Pelodiscus sinensis: one gene and its partner. Each later gene encodes a partner of the first gene's protein in a complex. Links are inferred from orthologs where the notes say so. Each region holds a gene or a part of one and is shown on either strand. Other genes may lie near its edges. The genes, in order: CACNA2D1 and CACNA1E.

Region 1 (7,887 bases):
CAATAGTGAGTTTTCTGATTAAATGAACTTTGTCTGAACTTTGTCTAAGAATTTCATAAGCACCTAAGTGACTTTGAGTTCCATTTCAAAATCCCACCCATAAGGGCAAGTCTCTGTATTTAATATGGGGTTAAGGGATTTGTTGAAAAAGTGGGCATCCAATACTGCTGTCATTGCCAGTCTTCTGAGGTCCTCATGCACCAAGAGCCTGATCCAAAGCCCCACTGAAGACAATGGGCATCACCCATTAATTTCAGTGGACTTTGTTTTAGGGCATAGGAGCACAAGGCTAGACACAGTCCTGCTCCTTGCACAGAGGCTTAATGGAAAAAGAAGAAATGTGCTAGTGCTTCATCCCTGATAACTTACTTTTGCTCTACAAGTGTAGCCTGTAGACATCTGTATATTTTCCTGCATGTGTTTAGACAACCCAGCAAACAGCTGCCAGACTGATTCAAGAATAAGCTACAGAGCTTCTCCAGTTTACACCAGCTGAGTCTGTGACACTGTCTCTTGACACAGGGTACTCTCTCAAAGCCTGCAGCATGAGAGAGCCCATTGCTACCTTGTGGAAGAGCCAGGGATGGCACACTCCTCCAGAGTGGGGCGTACAATCTTTTTGCAGTCTGGCTTTGGATAGATAAAATAGACAGAATAAGGCATATTGTCAGAAATATATAGAGAACCTGATTCTCCTCTTGATTCCAATGGTGTAAATCAGAAATAGCTAATTCCCCTCCCGCATATGCATTGTAGCGAATATATTGATAATTCACTGTTCAGAGTTCCCTAATATTCACTATCCTTCTTCTTGCCTCCTGACTGGCAGATTCAGAAACATGTAAGGATTTGCATGCTTCACTTGGTTTTGAAACAAAACCATGACTCTACTTCAGGTTTTGCCTGCACTGGGATCATCTCCAATAAGGGTTGTACACGTTGCAAGAATTTCAGGCTCAATCCGGGTGAAAACTTAGGCTCTGATCCTTACTGTGAGTAGACCCCTGCATCCCACACCACACTGACTTCACTGAAGGTATGAATGGGTGGAGTGATCTACCTACATGGAGCTTGTTGCAGTTTTGGGGCTCAAGTTTGTAATGAAACCCCAAGCCCACCGAGCTGTCCGTGTTCTGTGAATGCTGTACACAGTTCTAGCTAGATCTAACCTTGCAATATATTTCATCATGGAGTACATGTTTAGAATCAGTTTTGAATAGAAACATGGCCAAAGGTGGTTGGCCAGATTTACCCAGCCTTGAAGCCAGATTGTGATCCAGAGCACTAGCCCCATGCATTGTACTCCTGCATGGACTTTCCAGGCTTGGGCCTGGAAACATAGGAGTAAGATGGTACTGCATACATGTTTACACTCCCTGGAGCAGAAGAGTGGGAAATAGGCATAGCCTTGTGTCTTCTGATCAACACAGCTGAGCTCACTTCTGTAGTTCCGTTTTTCCAGAGTTGCTCCCAGCTGCAGATACTTCCTGGTTTTCTCTAATATGGAGGAGCATGACAAAACAAAGAGTTAATGTCTGGGAACAAGAGTAGCACCCCAGAGCTGTCACAGATGCATTGCTTTTCCATATGGACTTCTGCATCTCTTGCGGAGGGGGGCATACAATCTGGGAACAGTAATACCTCCTGATCCAGGAATGGCATCCCCCTCTCTTCCCTTTTGAAATAGAAAGGTAAATACTAAATCCCTTTATGCCTCCGCTCCAGCCCAATGGCATCTGTTCATCTCCTGACTGTGCAGGGAGTCCAAGAACTTCACCCAAATATTTTTGCTCTGATCCTCTCCCCACACTACCTGATGTCAATAGACATCATGCTCCTCTTTCCTTCACTTCTCCTTTTGATTCACTCTTGCTAACCTTTTCTATCCCTGCCATTCCCATCTCTACCCCATTTCTACCTGGGCAAGCCATTAAAAAACAAACAAACCCCTTAACAGTAAAAGGAAAGAAATGGGTATTTGGTGATATATGTGTATATCCAGGGAGCTAATAGGGCATATTCTGGTCATCACTCTGATAGCTTGCAGTGAGCTTCATGCTCACCTGTTCGCCGGTATGGAATTCATTGCAGTAGGGAGCCTCAGCTTGTAATCTCTTTATAGCGAGTTACTTGCAATGTGTTTGTACAGGGCCTAGAATAATGGTCTGGATACTGATTAATGCCTTTGGGGTATTTCTGTATTAGAGCAATAACATTTTTATTTGTATTTTCTCCAGGTTTTTTTCTACTGTTATTATGTATTTATATTACAGTGGCACCTTAAGTCTTTAGTCATAGACTAGTGTTGGATCCTGTACAAACACAGAACCAACTATATTATTATATGGGGACCTGATCTTGGAAGCTATTTGTATTCCTGTTACTCTAATTAATATTTTTACAGATATTGCCCTAATGAGCTGCACCAATGACAAATGCAGCATTAGAAAGCTTAAGAATATGATAATGTAAAAAAAATTAATCTTATGCCACTTTATGCTTCTGGCTTTACTGTTTACCCGAGCATTCCTCCTTTTGCCTTATTATTTGTCTCTCTCATGTCAGCACTGCTATAACCCCAAATGTTCAAAGATCATGAGTCAGGCACCCAAAATCAGGAGATTGGCTTGATAAAATAATTATGATGGTTTCCCGCCTTCTTTTTTTAGTCTCTGAGCCTGCTGTAGGTCATGGTTTTTAAGCTTTTCTCTGCAATGATTAGGGCTAAACATGTCCTTTTTAAAAAGTGGAAGTTGAGATGTTCACATAGTCATATGACTCCAGGAGTTGAGTTCTTGAGGAAAAACACCAAATGCCATAAAACAACAAAACAGACGCTGGCTGAGTTTTACTTCAGTGCTGAAACAGTCTTTGTGACTGAGGAGTTATGACCACCCTGTTCTCCCCACATTGCTAAGCAGAATGGAGTTCTATGCAGAGAGAAGAGAAGTCTCAGGGGTGGGGATGTTTGAGTGTAGTAAATCCATTGAGTTAATAGTGACACTGTTCAATAGAATCAGGGAGTAGGTGGAAGGCAGAAGCTGCATTAGATTAGAATAATTAATATGAGACTGGACATAACTTTCAGGTATCCTAATGATGCAGGTCACACACAGAAGACAAATTGCACTACAAATGCATTGTAAGGCAGAGAGTCTCAAAAGTGTGGTCTGACTGTGGAGTATTTGCTGTCAGTCATGCAGAGAGCTAGCAGCTCAGGGGTACAAGATTGGTCTGGTCCTTAAGGCACAAGGCTGTGATTTGGAGCACCTGTGTTTAATTCCCTGTTCTGAGACAGACTTCCTGAGTGACCCTAGGTGAGCTGCTTAGTCTCCTTGCCTCAGTTTCCCAACTATAAAATATAGATAACAACACTGCCTAAATTCACAACGGTCTAGTGGGCCAAATAAAGATTCTGAGGCATTTCGATATTAGAGTAACGTGAGCCATTTATCTAATTACTGAAGATAGATGTTGCTGGTTCCACCTCCCCTAGCTGATGTATTAGATTGATTTTTTTAAGGTTGGAGTAACTCAAAATAGTTGCCATTGTTTCTCTACCTACTCTATTAAATATCCATGAAATAAATCCCCCCCCTTCCTTTACCCTGTAAAACAGTTGCCGTTTCCATGGGGATATTACTGATGATGAATTGGGTCATGGGGGCTGTGGGAGGGGCTGATCTGCATGATTGTGAATGGAAGTGATGTTGGCTCCTACAAGGGCATAGACAACTTTTTGATGGGGAGGAGGGGAATAGAGGAAACAATAACTTGCTTTAATGTGTAATATTTTATTATGATTAAACTGCTCCACTTGTAATACAGCAAAATAAACAAGCTTCTGTTCCAAATTGTGTTTTCATGTTTTAATAAAACCCTTAATTTTTAGTAGGGATGAAGCCCCTCCCTAGCTCTCAGTTGTTTGTACCCTTGGCCCTGAGATGATCTCTTTCTTAAAAATGTGGTGAGGCCAGGTGCAAGGGCTAAGATCTTCTACTGGATCAACTTCTGTGGGCTGAGAGCAAGGTGCTTTCGAGCTCCCAATAAGCTTTTCGTCGGGTCTTGGTTTCTCTTTAGCAGGCAGGCTCCTCTCGTTCGCCGACAGAAGTTGGTCCCAAAACACGATTTCACCTCCCCCACCTTGTGTGTCTGCTGTTCTGGGACCCACCGGTTTCCAACAAGACTGCAGACGCGGTGACCGCCCTGACAAAATCTGGTCCGCCTGTCCCAGGAAGGAAACAGGCGCAAGGGGCCAGGTGTTGCTGCTTAGCACCCAAAATGGGAAAGAGGTTTACAAAAGAGCTGGGGAATTCCGAGCACTCGCAACAAACAAACAAACAAACCCCTCAGGCCAGTATCTAGGGGGAGGCGAACGGGAAGCTGCTGAGCGCTGGACGATTTGCCCGGGACTAGGTCTTCCCTTGCCTGGCTCTCTGAAAGCAGGCTGCGGGGGAGGGTTGCCCGGGGGAAATCGGGAGATGCAGAATCCCAGCCTCACATGGCCAGGGTGCCGCTAGCGAGAAGCCAGGCGCGGCTTTGGGGGCAGCCGGAGTCTCCCTGCGCTCCACGCTGGCTGCCCCGGCCCAACCCCAGGGTCTATGCGCACCACCCCTCGCACAGTGCGCCGCGGAGCGCAGCCGAGCCGGTTCGCAGCCGGCCTGCAGCGGCTTTCTGGCATGTGCCCGCTCCGCGCCGGCTGGGGCGAGGCACCACCCCCTGCCTCCCCCTCCTCGCGCGGGAGATCAGAGGCTGACTCCGGGAGTCCCTCCTCTGCCTTGTATGGCAAGCGGCTCCCTATAGGGCTCGGCGAGTCTCCTCTGCCACCCGCCCCCGCGGTGACTTTCCCCAGCTCCCTTCCTGCGGCTCGTGGCAGGGAAGCCGAGGAGAAATCGCCCAGCCTCTGCCTGCTTTCGCACCCCCTCCACCAGCCCCCGCCTCCGCCGCCTCCTCCCTCCTCCGCAATCGGGAATAAATCAGGCACGGACAGCCCCACGCAGGCACAGAGCGAGCGGAGAGCTGGTCCCAAAGTAGCCCTGATGGCGGCGGATCGCAGGGAGCCGGAGCCGCTGCTGGAGTAGCGGAGAGTCAGAGCCTCTCCCTCTCGGCTGGATCTCCCGCCCCCCGGCTCTCTCCATCGCTCGCCTCCCCACCCCTAGCTCCCCTCCCAGCTGCTGCGCCCAGCGCTGGGCGGCTCCTGGGAGAGGGGGAGGGGGCTTTAAAAAGCAAAACAAGCCCCAGTCATTTAATTATTTGTTCCGGCTCCGTGACTGGGGGGAATCGATCTTCGATCAGGAAGATGGCTGCTGGCTGGCGGCTGCTCCTGAGTCTGACACTTTGCCACTCCCTGGTGCTGAACCTGGCCTCGGAAGGACCCTTCCCTTCTGCCTCTATGTGAGTCCCAGCCGAGTTTGGCTCCGGCGTGGTTTGTTTTGAAACGCGGTGGTGGGGAAGGGGGAGGGTGTTTCCCTGAGAAAGTGTGTGTGTGTGTGTGTGTGTGTGTGTGTTTGGGAGAGGGTGGGATTGTAACGTGCGAGGGGAACTCTCCTTCCCTGGGATTGGGGGAGCCCTGTTCATAAAGTGGTAACTGGGGCACATGGCAGGATTTTGGCTGCTTTTGCTTTAAAGATCCAGGATCTCCGATCGATGGTCAATGAGGAGGGAAACAGCAAGCCCCAGCACAGCCAAGTACTAGACTTTTGAGTTCAGGGATTTGCATGAGAACAACACTCCCGACCGGGTCCCAGTCTCTAAATATACCCCCAGCAGATGAGCTGTGCTAAGAAGAAAGTTTCTAGTTGCACACATTCTCCCTCCCCGCTCCCACGGGCTTCAAAGGCTATTTCAGTTTGACTGGAATCTCAATACTTTCTATTTTTAAGTAATACAGCAGCAATTTATTTTTTCTTCTTTTTAAGAATTTTAAAATGCACAAAATACATATCCTTGCTTTCCCCATGCATGTTTGCATGATAGTGTTATTTTAATTTTTGGCTGGGGATTTTAAATGTATGTATGTCATTCTTACCTTGATCTCCTCCAGTTCACAACATGAATATTTTGACAGCTCCAGGGTTTGTTTTGTGTGTATGATTTTGTGGGTGCAGAATCATGTGCAAAAACAGACTTTTTTCATGTTGAAAGCAACGTAAGTAAAGTAGGTGTATTTTCATGCAGACTCTCTCAAACATTAGCTTTCATAATAATTACTTCAGGGGATTCACCTTTGCACCTTTTAAAAGGAATACTTAGTAATAGCTGTTTTATGTTGCTACTTTGCATGGATGTAATCCAAAATGTTCAAAGCGTTGTATAGTTATTAACATGAAAATGTTTCCCAGAGCAAAGGAAGGATCACATATTGAAAACCATGTGAAACAAAAAAGGAAAGGGGAAATAGACCAATATATTTTTGGTTTCAACCAGACATTTATAGGATAAGAAACAATGTGTGCTAATGACCACACTTCCTTTGTAGAAGCGCTTACTTTTAGTTCTATGGTTACCTGTCATCAGGTAACTTTATGTGGATGGTTCACTTGAATGCATTTTCTACAGGAAAACAAAAGTAAGGGTAGTAGTCTATGTTTGATGCTGGGCAGAATTTACTGTTCTTGCTCATCCTGTACAGGCGATTCCAGTGATTACCAGGAGTGCTTTTTCACCAATAAGTGCTGCTGGGGTGTTACAATTGGTTTCAGTTCTTAATATTGGTTCCATTTATATATTGAAGCAAAACTAAAATGATGCGCACACTGGTACAAGAAGGAAAGGGATTAAAAACATAACTGCATAGCCACTTAATATATTTTATATTGCATAAATGAAGCCTTGCCTTTTCTGATGCTTGACTCATGATTCAGTTTCTTGGACTGAAAGAATGCCTTACAAAGTTGTGCTGGGTAAAGCAAGGAGAGGAGTAAAAATAAATGCTAGGATACTCATCTTTTAAAATACTTGCTACTCTTAGTCTTCTGTTTTAGGATGTTGAAATCTACCTCCTTAGTGAATTGATAAATCATGTTATTCACAATTGATCTTCTCATAAAATTACTCTAATTCATAAAAGAGACAGAAATATTGAAATCAACATGGTGTGAAGCAAATACTATAATTTCCAGATGAAATTACAGACCACTTTTTACTGTGAGATACTTTGGTTTTCAGTCTTAGTAGTCCACTCAGTCCATATTTGCTTCTTACCTTTGCAGTCACTATTACTATATTCATCATAAAAGCAAACATCAGCAAAATAAGGTATTGGTTAATCAAAGAACTTGTTTCTAATAAGGAATGCAGAATAAGAAATATTTTTTTCCTCTTGGTTAACAGCTTTTAAATGTTCTCCACTGTCTACTTATGGTATGTGGGTTGCTTTTAAAAAAAAAAATTAAGCCATTGCAACATTGTAGAAACAATCCAGTGTCTGCCTATCCTTCATAATATATTTCATCCCTTAAATGAAATCAAAGAGCACATAAGTCTCAGTTCATTTAGGAGACAGTTCAGCAGGCTGGTAGGAAGACTTGTTTTGCAAAAGAGTAATGATGTAACAGGTGAAGATGAAAACAATGCTAGGATGCTGTTTTTAATGCTTGTGTGATGATGATTTTCTCAACAGTGAATAGTGTAAAGGGGAAGAAGTGAAAATGACACAAGTGAGAATATCTGTGAGTGTAAATAATTTAAGATGTAAATAGTACAGGTAACAAATAGGAAAAAAAGAAAAGGACTGAAGGGTGGAAAGGAAAGAAAGGAGTACTAGTAGCTGACACATTAAAGGCTGTTTAATGCCTGATTTGTTATACTTATCTACAAGTATTTTCCCAATATTTTTTTTACATGAACCCCTTTTTATCATTGATTTTGAAAAGCTGATATAAAGTG
Region 2 (8,115 bases), on another chromosome or scaffold:
GGCTGGACTGATTGTGTGTGTGAGCAGCAGGGATGAGGAGCCGTAGCGGAGTGGGGAGGCTGGCTGGAGTTGGGTGAATTGCTCCTGAATCTGAACCCTCAGCTCTGAGGTCACCAGGCCAAACCTTTGCATCCAGAGTAACTCTGCTCCCCGCGGCATGGGGCAGCCACTGCCCCACCCTGGGCCCGTTTGGAATAGATCCCATGCGATCGACAAGCCACCACGCTACAACCAAGGAGAGAAATGCCACTGGGTGCCTTGCTTGAATCGCTGGAGGAAGCAGATAGGCACGCGACCCACACGCCACCAGTTGACCCAGGTGAGGGGGGCTAGCTCTCCCCTGGTTGGCCCTGTGGCCTCACAGCAGTCACAGAAAACGTCAAGGTCATTTGGAAATAGCAGCTTGACCCAAAGGAAAGGAGGAGGGGCGTCAGGAAAAGTGGAGGTTGCCGACGGCACGATTCCCAGCACAATATTCCTAATGGATCTCGCTAGGAATAAGTGTTCCCACTGGGAGGAGGGCCAGAGGAAACTCTCGTGGGCTTAGAGGTCCCACTACCATAACAGATGGAGAAAGATCCTTCTCGGTATCCCAAATCAACAGCCCCATCCCATGCCTGGCCGGGGGTAAAGCCGCTGTGAGGTTCAGACGTCATGCGCCCATCCGCCACAGGCCTGTAGAAAGAGGGGGAAGCTCAAGGAGAAGTCGCAGTTACAAATACACAGTCAAGCCTGGCCCTTAGCACAACTCTGATTCAAGGAGCCCTGGAATGGGAAGTTCTGGGTGAGAGCAATCCATGGGGTTGAGATGCAAACACCCCTGGTAAATAATGAGCAAGAGACAATGTTCGCAGAGATGCCACTTCATGCCCTGCAACGGGGGCTGTGGCCAAGAGATGAAAGGCAGCCCCGTCCACGAAGCAATTTAGAGGCGCTCTGGACAGATGCCTCGGAGAAAGGGGCTGAAACTACATTAGAACAGCTGCGCCGATACAGACGCCACTGAGTGCTGCATCGCATTTTCTGTACCTTCGGGAGCGCCCTGATGAGACTTCCCCTGTTGGTCACGGACCAGGCTTGTCCCTGGCTGGAGGATGGCTTATTGAGCAATCCACTTCCCCTTGGCATTCCCAATAGCACCTGTTAAAAAGTCCAACACAGACCCCAGGATGCATGCGGACGGCCAGAGACACGAGGCAGACAGCTGGGAACAGCCGTCCTTCGTGAACACCTTGACACGCTGGACAAGGGCTACAGCAAAATGTTTCCGCAATATGAATCTAGCATCCAGATCCCAGCAAAGAGGCAGCAAAGGAAAAGCGACCGGCGTGCCCAACTCTGGATTGTTAGCAACTAAGATCTCTGGCGGCTCGTCACTTTCAGACTCCAGGGCATCAAAGGCAACAAGACGCATCAAAGTCTGCTGCTGGATCTGTGCTGGAGCAGACCGATGACCTTGATAAACCGGGACATTGTACTTCCAGCCCTGCAGTCTCACATGCTTGTGGACACAGATGAGCCACGTGGTTGCCTGAATTCAAGGCGTCTTGCTCAGACACTTGAGAAGAGTAACCCTGAGGTAGCCCAGCAGGTCTGCTGGAGGAAGACCTAGAACCGGGAGCGTTCCCAGTGTCCATGGAGCCTGGTGCCGGTTTGCTCATGTAGGACATAACGTCCTTTTGGGGGAAAAGAGAAAAAAAATAGTTAATATGGGCTGGGGCTGTCATTGCTGCTGTCCAAGTCTGACCCCGTTTCCTAGAAAACAACACACCCACAAAGGGAAAGGAAACAACCGCGGCAACAGAAAATGCAGCTTCTGTGTCTGGCATTGACTTTCGCTTGCAACCCCACTGATGAGAAAACACAGACCCAGCATATGGTCTGATCAGCCACTCTGAGACCTGGCAAACTCAGCCCAGCATCAGCTGTTTGATTTCATTTCATTACCTGCTTCTCTAATCACAGGCGCACAGCAGTGTTGCAAAATATGCAGTCTTGGCCGGCTCAGCCAGACTCTAAGGCTATGTCTTCACTTATACTGGCCTGACAAAATGTTTGGCATTCAGAGGTGCTTGAAACCCCCCCACGAAGAACAGGGGCACTCTCCTGATAAAGCAAAACCCGCACATTAGGGTGGAATTAAACAGTACTCATCTGTGCTGACAGTTAGCGACAGGACTATGTCAACACAGCCCCGTTGCTAAAAGCTGCCTAGGGCAGTCCTACCCTTAGAGAGAAGGAAGAAGGAGAGACAGGAAAGAAATAAAGTAGGGACGGAAAAAGATACACGGGAGGGGGGATCAGACAAAGTCTCAAATCCCAGATGAGGTTTGGGATTTAGCTGGAGCTGGGGAAGGTGGTTTGGTTCCTGGCTCCTACTGTCTGGCCCGCTCAGGTCGGGGCATTGATTACGAGCAGGCTGAAGGAGCTTGAGGCAGAACAGGGTGGGGTGGCAGCCATGACAGCGAAGCTCACGCCTTCCCCTTCTCTTTCACCCAGCCAGCAGCACAATCGTCGGCTTTTCTTCAAAAGTCGCTTTCCTTGTCAAGCCCCCAAAAGGGAGTGGTGGGCAGAAGAGTCCGTCCTCCTCTTTTTGTATCCTTCAATAGGCCTCATTTCCCACACACCCATTTGGGTTTAGTGACGGTGGGTTTTAAAACCCAGGCAGGCGCTTAACACATTCCTGGAGTTAGATCAGTAGCTCTTCTTGTCTGGACTTTAGTTTGCCTTTGGGGGGAGGCACCTTTTCCCGTCAACAATCCTTGTTATGGGTTAGTGTGACATTGTCGGGATTTATACTCACTTGCCACAGTTGAAATCACAGTCTGCGTAAAAGTGTAGTCCCATTACAAGGGAGCAGGATTCCCTGGCAGTAGAATTTCTGGGGAATAACCCCTGGTAATAAAGGTCATATGGGCTTTGACAAAGCTAATTTGAATGGTTTGGCTGGACACGGTTATTGATGTTAACAGGGTATTTATGTGGCACTTGTGTCAGGAAAGCTCAGGGCCAAAGCTGTGCGTCAGGGGAATGCCTCAATAAAACTGAGAGCCATCGGACAAATTTTTTTAGGAGGACTGCTCTCAGACATATGGTACCTCCTCAGCCTGTGGTAGTACGGTGCCTGGAAGATAACAGGGATTACAAATAGAAGATGCTGCCGTTTACTGCTCCTGCCTCTGCAGTGATCGGGGGAAGGAATATGAGTCAAGAGCATTGGGCGAGGTTGACTATAAATGCCAAGCAGCCAAATGTTACTTTCTCCTGGCTCTGCTCCAGGGTGGTTAACCCTGCCAGCGGTTCCTTGCTCAGACTCTCAGCCAATAAAAACAAGAGGTGGGGAAGCCAGCTTGGTTGAGATTTTGAATGCTCACCTTCTGTGACTTGACATTCAGACATCAGGAGATGAAAGACCTGGAAAGTAGGGATGTAAAAGGTTAACCGGTTGTCTGGTAAGCATTAGGTTCATTTGGATCTGTCCAAACCCCAGTGGTCGGCCAGCCATGGTGGCCTGGATGGCAAGACCCCACCTGCAGGGGCCCAGCCTGGAGCAACCCCCACCCAGTTGGACCAGTCAGCCACTAGGGCCAGCCTGGAGCAGCTGCCTGCCCATGGCAAGCTGGTTGCCGGGACCCCAGCTGCGGCGGGCAGAACTGGAGCAGCCTCCACTGTGCCTGGCAGGCAGGACCCCTGCCCCACAGAGGCAGTGGGACCATGGGGCTGGCGGGACCCCCATCCCCAGCTGCTCTGCACCAGCCCACCCACAATTAACCGATATCATTTTAATTGTTTAACTGGTTAACTGTTTTAATGGTCATTTACATCCCTACGCTGCACAGAGGAAAGTGAGGTTGAGGGACCAGATTCGGGTGAACAGTGAACGTTCAAGTCAGGAGCAAGATGCCAGGAGTGAAAAGAAAGTTTGGCTACACCATTGGACAGAACTGGAGAAAACCCTCAATCAACTCCGTTTTGTGGGGCATTACACAGTCATCAAAATGGCTGGTCCTGCCGTGAGGGACTGGACTCGGTGGCCTCTTAAGGTCCCTTCCAATTCTAGGATTCTGTGAGTCTAAGAAACTAATCAACTTATTCTTGCTCATAAGAGAAAAAAAAACATTATGGTCTTGCTTCAAGTACATGCAGAATGGATGCCCAGATCCCGGAGAAAAGAGACACCAGATGAGCGTGCGTGCCAGACATCTTTTACGGGGGCAGAAGGCTGTTTGGAAATCGCTCCACACGTTGATCTCGGAGAACAAGTTAAGGGAGAGAAATTACCAGGAATTCTTTTGGATCCCACTTGTCACCGTCACTGAAAGCCCATCAGAAGTCAGGCTGGCTTGGAGAGTAGCCACATACAACCGGATGACTCACATCCAGTTGACGAGAGATACAAGGCCAAACACTCCGCTGTGTATATTGGCGCAGCTCCGTTGGCTTCAGAAAAGTGGTGCCAATCAACACTCCCAGAAAAACTTGGCCCACTGCATTGATTGAATACAAGACACAGCCAGAAACTTACAAAGCTGGGAGGAGATTATAATATGCAGAACTTTTGTTCACACTTTAAGAACCCTAATTAAACAAAGGGAGAAGGCATAGTAATACATGCAGACATCCTGCACGCATTATTGCTGGTCAGAAAGAGGAGGTGCGTGTCACAGGTTTTTCCGCCTTGTGCTGCGAGGTTTTTCTGCCCATGTATTATCATCATGATCCTGCGCAGCCCTTGAGTAGCGCTTTTAAGTGATCCATGCACTGCACACTGATTCTCTGAATAGCCCTCATCACAGCCCTGCGGGATATGGATGTAAAGGTGCAGGACTGCCTTAGCCACATGACAACGGGGCAACACCACGGAGGTGGGAGGGTAACGTGTCCCCTACCACCAAAGCACAAAACATGCTGCTGAAGTCGTGCTGAGGCCAACCTAAACCAATCCTGTCTGGATCAGTTCTCTCTCTTTTGCGCAGTGCGTGCTGCTCCTGGCCATGGCTCCTAAGTTTGCAAAATTGGGCCACTTGTGCCCCCTCCCCCAGCTGGGGGGCACATGCGACCCCAGTTTATTTCTTTCCACACATCCGTCACGTCCCGTTGGTTTGACTGGGGGCAAGCTGATGAAGTCCATCACAGACTGACCGCAACCAGCCTCATCCAAAGGCCACACTGCAAGGTGCAATCTTCCTCATACTGAAGCTACATCTAGACTGCCCCCTCTTGCACAAGAAAATCTGCAAATGAGGCAAAGCGGTGAATATTGCCGCACCTCATTTGCATACTTAATGAGCCACCATTTTTGCGCAAGGGGCTTTTGTGCAAAAAGGAGCTGTCTACACGGCTCCTTTATACGCAAAACCCCCCTCTTATGTAGGAGCCGTTCTTCCTGAAAAAAAGCGGCAGAACAGCTCTTGCGCAAGAGGGGGGTTTTGCGCAAAAGCCCCTCACGCAAAAATGGCGGCTCACTAAGGATGCCAATAAGATGCAGCGATGTTCACCGCTTCACCTCATTTGCATATTTTCTTGCATAGAGGGGGCAGTCTAGACGTAGCCCTTTAAGATGATCAGGGGTGGGGGGAAGAGGTTACATCCATCTTCCCTCAGAGCAAATATTCAACCACTTTGCATTCTTGAAGTCGGATGCCAGCCAATCAGTGAAACCATCACAGACAGGAGAAGGGGCAGTTACTTCCAGGGGAGTCAAGCAGAGAAGAAGAGGCCCACCTCCCTCAGACATCACACCCACACACCCCGCCTCAGACGTCACACCCACACTCCCCTGCCTCAGACGTCACACCCACACACCCCTCCCTCAGACGATACACCCACACACCCCGCCTCAGACGTCACACCCACACTCCCCTGCCTCAGACGTCACACCCACACTCCCCTGCCTCAGACGTCACACCCACACATCCCTCCCTCAGACGATACACCCACACACCCCGCCTCAGACGTCACACCCACATCCCCCTCCCTCAGACGTCACACTCACACCCCCCTCCCTCAGACGTCACACCCACACTCCCTTGCCTCAAATGTCACACCCACACTCCCCTGCCTCAGATGTCACACCCGCATCCCCCTCCCTCAGACGTCACACTCGCATCCCCCTCCCTCAGACGTCACACCCACATGCCCCTGCCTCAGACGTCACACCCACATCCCCCTCCCTTAGACGTCACACCCACACACCCCTGCCTCAGACGTCACACCCACACACCCCTGCCTCAGACGTCACACCCACATCCCTCAGACGTCACACCCACATCCCCCTCCCTCAAATGTCACACCCACACTCCCCTCCCTCAGACGTCACACCCAGATCCCCCTCCCTCAAATGTCACACCCACACCTCCTCCCCTACCAGCTCTCTTTCTGGTTTACGCGTCTGACCACCGCCTCCCTACGTCCCCCATTTCACCTGCTCTTGCCCACTCTCTCCCACCCCTCCACCTTAACGCCAGGCTACTTCATTTTCACCTGTCCTCCCGCTCTGAACAGTGTGCACTCGATGAGCTGCACAACATTAGTCACTGGCCAAAGAGATGTGAGAAAAATGGGGGCACCCGCTTCATAATGCAAAGCAGCGCTCGGAAGCAGAGCACAAAAGGTTAGCGTGATAAGAGTAAATTAATTACAGGGCCTCACAGAGCAGAGTCAAGTGGCCACTCAGATGAGTGATTCATTCTCATTGCTTCACTATGTCTCTTACCGTCTTAATCTGTTTAGCTGTTAATTAGCCTTCCCTCCTGTCGCTTTTGTTCCACAATAGTCAGGGAGCAGCGGGCGAACAAAACCTAGAGCTCCTTGAAATTCAAACATGAGCAGTGGGTGAAGGTAGCCCAGCCCCGCCCCTTCTGCTGAGGCCCCGCCCCTTCTTCTGAGGCCCCGCCCCCAACACAGGGGAGCACGAGAAGGGCGGGCAGGTGCATGGCTCCAGCCTCCCAGGCCAGGAGAGCAGGAGGGCAGGCCCTGGAGGCAGCAACAGCCCGCCTCAGTATGCCTATCGTAGGCGTTCTGGGGGCGGAGCGTGGGCGGGGCTAGGCTTGCAGTTTGGGAAGGCAAAGCCTTCCCCTGCCTAGCACACGGCTGCCCAGGAATTCAAGGTTTAGTCTCAACAAACTCAGCAACTGGCCGCGTAGCAAGAGAGCCGTCTCTGCGGTTACGACGCCAGGGCACAGGCAGGTGTCACTGTCAGCGGAGGAGGTATAGGATTTTAAGTCACGTGGCTGTTTCTTGCTGAGCCTGGGCAAACGCTGCTTGGTTTCGGTTCATAAAGGGCCTCTCTCACAACCGGTGTTCGGGATCGGTGAGGCTTTGCAGACAGTAGCAGAAGAGAGGACTTCGGCCTAAGGGCTCTGTCTACAAATTTGTGCCACTTTAACTATACTGGTAGAGGCAGGCCTGCCAACCACGGAGAAGGGAGTAAAAGGGGCAAGTGTCCGGGGCCTGGTGATTCTAAAGAGCTCAGGGTTCCTAGCTACCACTGCTGCCCAGAACCCTGGGTCCGTTCAATTGCCACCAAAGCGCCACGCTCCAAGTGGCTCTAAGGGCTGTGGGGGGCAGCGTGGCGCACTCCGGGCAGCACTGAGGGGTGGCTGCCCTCGGCCCCACCCCTGTAACTTTACCTGTGAAGCTCTGCAAGTGTAAATGCAACTCAAGCCGGCAGGACCTGCTTTTGCTGTTCTGACTTATACCAGCTCAGTCCGCAAAGTAAGGCTTTGTCTCTACTTCAAAGGACTTTCCGGTACGGAAATCCTGGCAGAGTTATGCCAGCAAACCTGCCTCATGTAGAAGCAGCTTCTTACCTACAAGCGTTCCTTTGCCAGAACTGCCCTAACCAGTGAAGGGAATGGGCTACCTCAGCCAAAGGACGTTTGCTGGCGTAAGCAGCGTCTACACTAGCTGTGTCGGTCAGTCAGGGCTTTGTCCACACTCCTAACAGCCATATCAGGCTCCTACCAAATTGGTGGCCATGGAAAATGCACCACAGACTGTGAATTCTGGTCTCCCCCGTGAAAGCTGGCCTGTCAGGTACTTTTACCCTATTCTTTGCTCGGCAGCTGAACAGCCGCAGCTGCTGGCCAGGCGCCTGGCTTTGGAGGCACCCCT

What was found.
Region 2: the proteins of CACNA2D1 (region 1) and CACNA1E are in contact, whole or in part, in a cryo-EM structure (PDB 8EPM), measured with the Homo sapiens proteins. The link is inferred for Pelodiscus sinensis from reciprocal best matches to the Homo sapiens genes CACNA2D1 and CACNA1E. Residues at the interface, in NP_001353796.1 of Homo sapiens: Thr170, Asp171, Tyr173, Ile233, Leu235, Ser261, Gly262, Ser263, Ser265, Gly266, Leu267, Lys270, Ala327, Lys328, Gly329, Ile330, Thr331, Glu366, Gln391, Asn393, Tyr394, Ile416, Gly417; in NP_001192222.1 of Homo sapiens: Gln110, Leu112, Pro113, Glu114, Asp115, Asp116, Lys117, Pro119, Arg122, Asn630, Phe631, Asn632, Asp633, Gly634, Ile1330, Gly1331, Asn1332, Val1334, His1336, Met1341, Val1343, Arg1346, Arg1393, Ser1394.

Annotation. Positions count from the first base shown.
Region 1 is NC_134711.1:18,846,371-18,854,257, forward strand, and holds the start of CACNA2D1 (voltage-dependent calcium channel subunit alpha-2/delta-1), read left to right. Parts: upstream 1-4,831; 5' UTR 4,832-5,299; coding exon 5,300-5,394; intron 5,395-7,887. UniProt on the Homo sapiens protein: The alpha-2/delta subunit of voltage-dependent calcium channels regulates calcium current density and activation/inactivation kinetics of the calcium channel. Plays an important role in excitation-contraction coupling.
Region 2 is NC_134719.1:58,580,255-58,588,369, forward strand, and holds the start of CACNA1E (voltage-dependent R-type calcium channel subunit alpha-1E), read right to left. Parts: upstream 3,417-8,115; 5' UTR 3,375-3,416; intron 1-3,374. UniProt on the Homo sapiens protein: Voltage-sensitive calcium channels (VSCC) mediate the entry of calcium ions into excitable cells.